2 linked regions of the Danio rerio genome follow. The protein of the gene in region 1 interacts with the protein of each later gene in a pairwise test. Links are inferred from orthologs where the notes say so. Each region holds a gene or a part of one and is shown on either strand. Other genes may lie near its edges.

Evidence for each region.
Region 2: the proteins of naif1 (region 1) and sox14 interact in binary tests that used the Homo sapiens proteins (3 or more experiments, as listed by UniProt). The two-hybrid records come from large-scale screens. The link is inferred for Danio rerio from reciprocal best matches to the Homo sapiens genes NAIF1 and SOX14.

What each region holds. Positions count from the first base shown.
Region 1 is NC_133183.1:3,872,003-3,876,332, reverse strand, and holds the start of naif1 (nuclear apoptosis-inducing factor 1), read right to left. Parts: upstream 3,039-4,330; coding exon 2,657-3,038; coding exon of another isoform or gene 2,603-2,656; intron 1-2,602. UniProt on the Homo sapiens protein: Induces apoptosis.
Region 2 is NC_133181.1:29,053,215-29,057,124, reverse strand, and holds sox14 (transcription factor Sox-14), read left to right. Parts: upstream 1-1,418; 5' UTR 1,419-1,816; coding exon 1,817-2,533; 3' UTR 2,534-3,361; downstream 3,362-3,910. UniProt on the Homo sapiens protein: Acts as a negative regulator of transcription.

The sequences.
Region 1 (4,330 bases):
CTTCACTTTTCCGACATTTCTTTATGTTATTATTAGCCTTATTCCAAAATGGATTAAATTCATTGATTTCCTCAACAATCCCCCATAGTGACAATGTGAAAAAAAGATTCTTGAAATTGTTTCAAATTTATTAAAAAATAAAAAGCTGAAACATGTGCAGTAGTATTCACAGCCTTTGCTGTGAAGCTGTAAATTGAGCTCAGGTACATTCTGTTTCCACTGATCATTCTTGAGATGTTTCAGCAGCTTCATTGGAGTTCACCTGTGGTCAATTCAGCTGATTGGACATGATTTGATAAGGCATACACTGTCTATATAAGCTCCCAGGGTTGACAGTGCATGTCAAAGCACAAACCAAGCATGAAGACAAAGGAATTGTCTTTAGACCTCTGAGACAGAATTGTCTCGAGGCACAAGGCTGGGGAAGGTTACAGAAACATTTCTGCTGCTCTGAAAATTCCAGTGAGCACAGCTGCCTCCCTCATCCGTAAGTGGAAGATGTTTGGAACCACCAGGACTCTTCCTAGAGCTGGTCGGACATCTAAGCTGAGTGATCGGGGGAGAAGTGCCTTAGTCAGGGAGGTGATCAATAACCCGATTGTCACTCAGTCTGAGCTCCAGCGTTCTTATGTGGAGAGAGGAGAACCTTACAGAAGGACAACCATCTGTGCAGCAATCCATCAAACAGGCCTGCATGGTAGAGTGGCCAGACGGAAGACACTTGACACCTGAAAGGCATCTGAAGGACTCTCAGACCATAAGAAACTAGTCTTTAGTCTGATGAGACTAAACTGGAACTCTTTGGAGTGAATTCCAGGCGTGTTTAAAGAAAAACAGGCACCGCTTATCATCAGGCTAACACCATCCACTGCAGGGATATTCCAATATTAAGTGAGTTTTTCCTTAAAACAAGCAAAATAATCTGCCAATGGGGTGAGCAAATACATCTTGTTTTTTCTTTTGACGTAAGATTATTTTGCTTACCCCATTGGCAGATTATTTAGCTTGTTTTAAGGAAAAACTCACTTAATATTGGCATATTATTTCTCAAAACAAGACAATATGTTTTGCTTGTCTAGAAAATTCTTCTTGATTTAGGAATTTTTAGATATTTGGACTAGAAACAAGACAAAAAATCTAAGTAAGAAAAGCATTTTTTGCAGTGCAGAAACACAAGCACGTGTTTCGCATTTTACTGCATTCGAAAGTTCAAGCTTGGTGAATTCTTACCTGCGAAATCACATCAGGTGACTGCATGAGACCAATAGAAAATCATTTAAAATAAGACATTTAAAATATGGAGCAATCGCTCACTTATATTAATGTCTAATCATATCGTTTAACCCCGCCCCTTTTCACAGCGCCATACGACAGAATTTCGCAAGTACATGCTCTAACGTGACCACAGCTTAAGTCGCTTTAGACAAAAGCGTCTGCTAAACGACTAAATGTGAATGTAATTTCCGTGACTTTTTCTGTTTTTCCAAAACTTTTCCAGGCCTGGAAAATGCCACGTCAAAATTCCATGACTTTTCCATGTTTTCCATGACCCTGTGTGAACCCTGCTTATTAGCTTTTGTATCCTCATTAAAAATACTACAGTAAATACTATGGTGTTTGTGAATCACGCTATGCATTAGTAAAGTACTTGAGCTTATCTGTTTTGGTAATGCTATGGTAACACAACAACTAATATAAACAAATGACTCCATTAAAATGACAGTTTATCAGATAGTTGATACTACTAGCATTCGATAATGAAGTGTTGTATAATATATTCAGTATTTCGAATACTCAAAAACATTAATAACTATACATTGCTTAGCTTAAGCCTTAGCCTACTACAGTGTGTTTTTATGTTGGTAAACAACATTTTAAAGGTAAACTGAGTACAGTAGAATTGCCTTAATGTATTTAAGGTGATAAACATGAAATATAAATTGTGTTTTTCCAAATAAAGAAAATGTTTGTTCCAAGCAAAAAAAATATATACATTTCTTATTATTGTTTTTGTCTTGTTTCTAGTCCAAAAATTAAAAACATATTCAATCAAGAAGCATTTTTGACAAGTGAAAATATATAGTTTAATTTGCATGTTTTCCTAAAAAACAAGCACAATAATCTGACAATGGGGTAGTGAAATGTACTTATTTCAAACCAAAATCAAGACTATTTTACTAAAACCAATGACAGATTAAAAACAAAAACACCTTGTTTAAAACAAAAACTCATTTAATTTTTACTTTATTTCTTGTTTATTCCTTTTAACCATGTTTTAACTCATTTCTATTCGTTTTTAATTCTTATACTTGTGTGCTTATTTTATTATTCTTTATTTTAATCGTCTTGTTTATTTAAAGCACTTTCAATTACAATTGTATATGGAAATGTACTATATACCTAAACTTGACTGTAATTTATTTCTGAAAATAACTATATATGTTTGTTTTTTTTTCATTTACTTTGTCTAGAAAATGCCTGTTGATTTAATTATGTTTAGATATTTTGGACTACAAACAAGACAAAGTCTCTAAGTAAGAAACGCATTAGCGCGCTCAGTTTCCGCATGGTAAGTTGCGTAGGGCTAACGCTAGTGTCTTACTTTGCGTTAAAGTGACGGCGGCTGCGGAGCTGATAGGCACCGCGATCTCCGTACCCGCGTCCGCCGCCGGGAGGCTGATGATGGTCGCTTCGCCCAGCAGATTGCAGATGCGCTGCTGCATGGAGGTCAGGATCACCGGCACGGTGGTGCAGTCGCCCGTGCCCTCCATGGCGGCTCGAGCCTGCGCCACTTTCCGCCGCACCTCCGTCTTCAGATCCGACCATTTCTTCTTGACTTCGGCGAGCTCGCGCTGGCAGGTGCTCACGGCGTTCACGCGCTTCAGGATCTCCATCCACGCGCTGTTTTTGGCGATGTGCGTGACGCCCGCGTTAAAGTGATTCACCAAAATATGCTTCTGCTTTTCCATCTCCTCCACGATGATCTCCACCTCCCTCTCGGAGAAGTTCGTTTTTCTCTTTTTGGCCTGAGATGCCATAACGTTGTAAATTTGACGGATGGAGAGGGGGGGAAATTGCGTAGAATACGTAAAAATAGTACGTTTTTGTCCCAACACTATTGCGCAGCGTAATGGCTTCTGGAATCGACTTCTCTTCCAAAGAGAACGTTCGTGGACGCAAATGGCTGACGGTCCGCCTATTTTCAGATCGGGCGGTTCCTATTGGTTTAGATTCGTCGTTGGCGGTGACGATCTTTCTTTTCATTGGTGGAAAGTGTTGTCAGTCGCTGATACGTTTGTGGTATAATTATTGATGGCCATAGGAGGGAGCTGTTGAACAACAAATTATATATGTGTGCGTGCGTGTACAGTACACACATTTGAATTCAGGATTATTAGCACTCCTGTTCAATCCTAATTATTTTATTTTTCTTCCCCAATTTTTGTTTAACGGAAAGATTTTTTTCAACACATTTCTAAACAATAGTTTTAATAACTTATTTTTAATAACTGATTTATTTTATCTTTGCCATGATGACAGTAAATAATATTAGACTAGATATTTTTCAAGACACTAGTATTCATCTTAAAGTGACATTTTAAGGCTTAACTAGGTTAATTAAGAAAGTAGACAATAAAATAAATATTGCGTAAGGGGGATAATAATATTGACCTTAAAATGTTTCATTAAAAACACTTTTATTCTTGCTGAAATAAAATAAGATCTTCTCCAGAAGAGAAAAATATTTTAATTTTCTTTCCTTCACTTCTCACAAGTTTGATTAAATGTATTCTGTTAAACACAAAAGATGGAAAGATAATGAGAATATGTTGGTAACCTGTGACTTCCATAGTTGGGAAAACAAATGGTTTTGCATTTGAATGATAATCAATGGTTACTGTGTTTCCAACATACTTCAAAGTTTCTTCTTTTTATATTCAACAAAAAAAAAAGAAACTCAGGCAGATTAATAATTTAGAAACATTTAAGATAAATCAAATGTTAATTTTTGAATGAAATCTTTTTAAAGACAAATAGTGTTTCAAGCATCAGTAAAAAAGTTAATTAATAATCCCCAATGGGTCCTGTTTAGCATTTTCAGAGCAGAAAACACCATAACACATAATCAGACATTGTTAGCATGACTTGGGTATTAGTATGACTACAAATCCTGTCAGTAGTTCTACAATAAAAAAAAAAAATTCATTCATTCATTCATTCGTTTCCCTTTCTTAGGCTTAGTCCCTTTATTAATCAGGGGTCGCCAGCATATGTTTTACACAGCGAATGCCGTTCCAGCTGCAACCCATCATTGGGAAATATCCATACT
Region 2 (3,910 bases), on another chromosome or scaffold:
TCATGTCACGCTTGAAGGCCCCACCACGAGATATCACATATCTTATACATTTCACTTAATAATTACACCCGTGCCTCTCATATATCAAGCTCTTGCCTCGGGCTCATTAGGACCCTGATCTTTTTAAACACTTAAATTTGCATCTTAAAGGTTTTTGGTGCGCGAACCTTAACACAAAACATCGCCTTGAATTAGAAATATTTCGGTTCACACATCTGTGTCGATTTTGACAATTACAAATAAATTCGGAAGTTTATTTGTCAGATACAAAGGAGGAAGGGAGAAAGAGATCACGAGAAAGATCAGGGATAATTAACCGCAGCTTCAATGCAGAGCTTAAAATAATGCAGGTGACTTTATTGTGACCACGAGTCTAATATTTAAAAGCAATTACTTGAAATTTTAACTATTTCATAAAAAAAAATTCCCTCCATAATTCGCGCAAATATTTGTTAGGAACGTGAACATTTGAAAACAAAAAAACATCTCACAGCTCAAGGTTTTCATCTGCGTTTGATTATTTGTGGGATGTAATGATCCTATGAGCAACTGGCATTGTTTTTCAAATGCCGAATTTGCGTGGGTATGTTACCAAAGGGTCCATGGGCATGTTCTACACATGTGAGATTACAGCAGCAAAACAGGTGCAAGCCCCAACCCAGCCCGTCCCAGGAGAGCTTTGGACAATTGTTCTCATTTAGGAAATATTAGCCTGGGGGCCACTGCCTCAGACAGCGCGCTTATTTTCACTGATTTTAAAAACCGTTTGTCTTTTTATTTTCCTCTTGTTCAGACATTTCAGTAGCCTGGTGCGTTGTTTTAGTGATTGAGTGAATGATAAGATACATTTTTGTCATGTTTTCTTACCAAAATAAACTGTTAATGAACGGATAGGGGGTAGCTCCAAGGAAGTAATTATAAAGTAATAATAATAATAATAATAATAATAATAATAATAGTAGTAGTAGTAGTAGTAGTTAAATGTGTAATGTATAAAATATGTATTGTTGTTGTTGTTATTGTTGTATTGTAAGCTAAACGTCAGTTTAATCGTCAACATATTTTTCATAAATAAGGCTAAACTTTAAGTGTACACATAAAAGCGTGCTTACTATGTTTAAAATAAGAATTTGTCTTTTCTTCAGGCATCTGTCGTCTCTGAAGGATTGACGCTGGTAGATGTCAGGTTTTATTACAAAAAGGTTGAAGGTCTGTGTTTGTAGACCTTCAACTAAATGGATTTGGGGAGGGAAGAGAGTCACCTCCTTTTCCTCCCCGATCTTTGTTTGTGTTGTAATATACATATTTTGGTAGGTATTATGTGGCTTTCTCAGAGCTGATTGGGCGCTCAGGTTGGCGCGTGAACGCCCTGCGATTATGTCAGATCGCGTGCAGAGCGAACCAGCCCAGCCTTTGAACTTCACCGCTTTTGGCTCTCATTCACGCGCTTCTCCTCATTTCCCAGCCAGGTGCTTCGCGGGGCGAGAATCCTCCGAGAAAAAAAGCGAGCAAACAGATCGCGGAAACTTCGCTTCCCGTGCTGGATTTTGTGGCGCGCGTGGCTGTTCTTCTCTCAGCCGAATAGTGTCGTTTTGAAGAGTCGTCATAATTCAACTAAACGACAAACACGGAAGAATTACTGGATTTTTTTCATCTCTTCTCTCTCATTGATGCCGCTTTCCTGCTCCTCCGGCTCTCTAGAACTGGCATGATCCGAGTCTGTCTGCAGGACAGGTGAATACCATTATCTCTTCGTTGCTTGAAGAACTTTTTTGTTGTTATTTTAGTAGGGAAATTTTAAACGGACGCCGTGAACATGTCAAAACCGGCAGATCACATCAAGAGACCCATGAACGCCTTCATGGTCTGGTCAAGAGGCCAGAGAAGGAAAATGGCTCAAGAGAATCCCAAAATGCACAATTCCGAAATAAGCAAAAGACTCGGCGCCGAGTGGAAGCTGCTGTCTGAATCCGAGAAGCGACCGTACATCGACGAGGCCAAGAGGCTGAGGGCTCAGCACATGAAAGAACACCCAGACTACAAATACAGACCCAGGCGCAAACCCAAGAACCTCCTCAAGAAGGACAGGTACGTGTTTCCTCTGCCCTACCTGGGCGACACGGATCACCTGAAAGGACTTCCGGTCTCAGCCACGGACTCACTCTTAGGTTCTTCGGAAAAAGCCCGTGCGTTCCTGCCACCTACATCTGCCCCTTACTCCTTCCTCGACCCGAGCCAGTTCAGCTCCAGCGCCATTCAGAAGATGACAGAGATGCCCCACACGTTGGCCACCAGCACTTTACCTTACGCATCATCTCTGGGATACCAGAACGGTGCATTCGGGAGCCTGGGTTGCCCCAGCCAGCACACTCACACCCACCCGTCGCCAACAAACCCGGGGTACGTGGTGCCGTGTAACTGCACCGCATGGTCGGCGTCGAGTTTACAGCCGCCTGTTGCCTACATACTCTTCCCAGGTATGACCAAGAGTGGGATTGACCCGTACTCTTCAGCACACGCCGCTGCTATGTGACTCCACCACAAACAAAACAAACAATCTCCTCTTTGAAAACTTGAATACAGCAATGCATGTACATAAGAAGAGAGGAATGATCGAGACATTTATACTACTGAAGCCGGTGGACACGAACTTTTTCACCATCTACGAGAGGTTCCTCGGATCCCAGCATGGATCTTGGAATAGATGTAAGGCAGGTGCCCAGAACTGTAAGAAATGTAAATGTTCAAACGTTTATTATTATGGCTACCGAATTTGGATGCCTTTAATTTTATTTATTATGTACAATTTGATGCTATAATAATGATAATTTTGTTTGAACAGTTAATATAATTGTTATTCTCCTCATATTATTATTATTATTATTTGAAAGACTTTGATTTGCACAACTAACGGTTAGAATTTTTCTTGTACAGCCTGATGTATTTACCATTATTTTTGGCACTCTGAAATTCAAATGAAACTAGGGTTTCAAAGTGAGGAATTCAGCGTTTAATAGAATATACGGGTTATATTGTTTATCATTATAAAAACCGTCACCTAAAATTAGACAGTCTATTTAAAATTTCAAGTGAAAAAAATAATTATAATCTTTTTTTTTTCTTTTTTTTTTGGACATTTCTTTTTCTGTGGTTCAGTGCTAGTCACTCGTTCATTTGATTTCAGAAACTACAAAGTTTGAAGCGAAACAGTTCATGTTGTATTTTTTATCTGCGATGGTAACTTAAATCCTGTCATGTTTATGGAAAGGAAAATGTATCTAAAAAAGGGTGATACCTCGATTCTTTGTTCATTTGCAGAGCAAAGACATTTTGAATAAAGACAATCTGTCTTAAAAATTCATCACCTTTCTCATATTGCCTATTTAAACCAATATTGAATTGTTGTTTACTATGTTGTTGTACGGTCGTGCCAAGAGGCATGTTGGAAATAAGGTGAACCCGAACACGCGTTTAATAGTTTTTATTTATCCAGTTATACCGTGTTTTATTTCTACCTTAAAATCTACAATTTTTCTCGGGCATATAGAAGTATACAGGCCTTGCCTGCTTAGCATAAAACAGATATTTGTCGTACTCTGATTAGATATCTACAATAATTATCTTCTCAATCAGCACCGCTTAAATAATCCAGCGTTTCGGCCGTAGCAGTCTTAATAACCATCTGGCTTTTCGGCATAGATTTGAGATGAACTCTGTCAGCGCGTGGCGTTCCCGAATGCTCTTTAGGGACCCTCTGTCCAAATTAAATGGCAAAACAATTACTGTACAGAGACGCTTAGGGAAACTGAGGGCAAACATGAATTGTGATTTACTCCGAGATCCACAATAGGATGAAAATTGGACTGAAGAAGGGGTGGTGCGCGTATGAGCCATGTCATCCAGTATTACA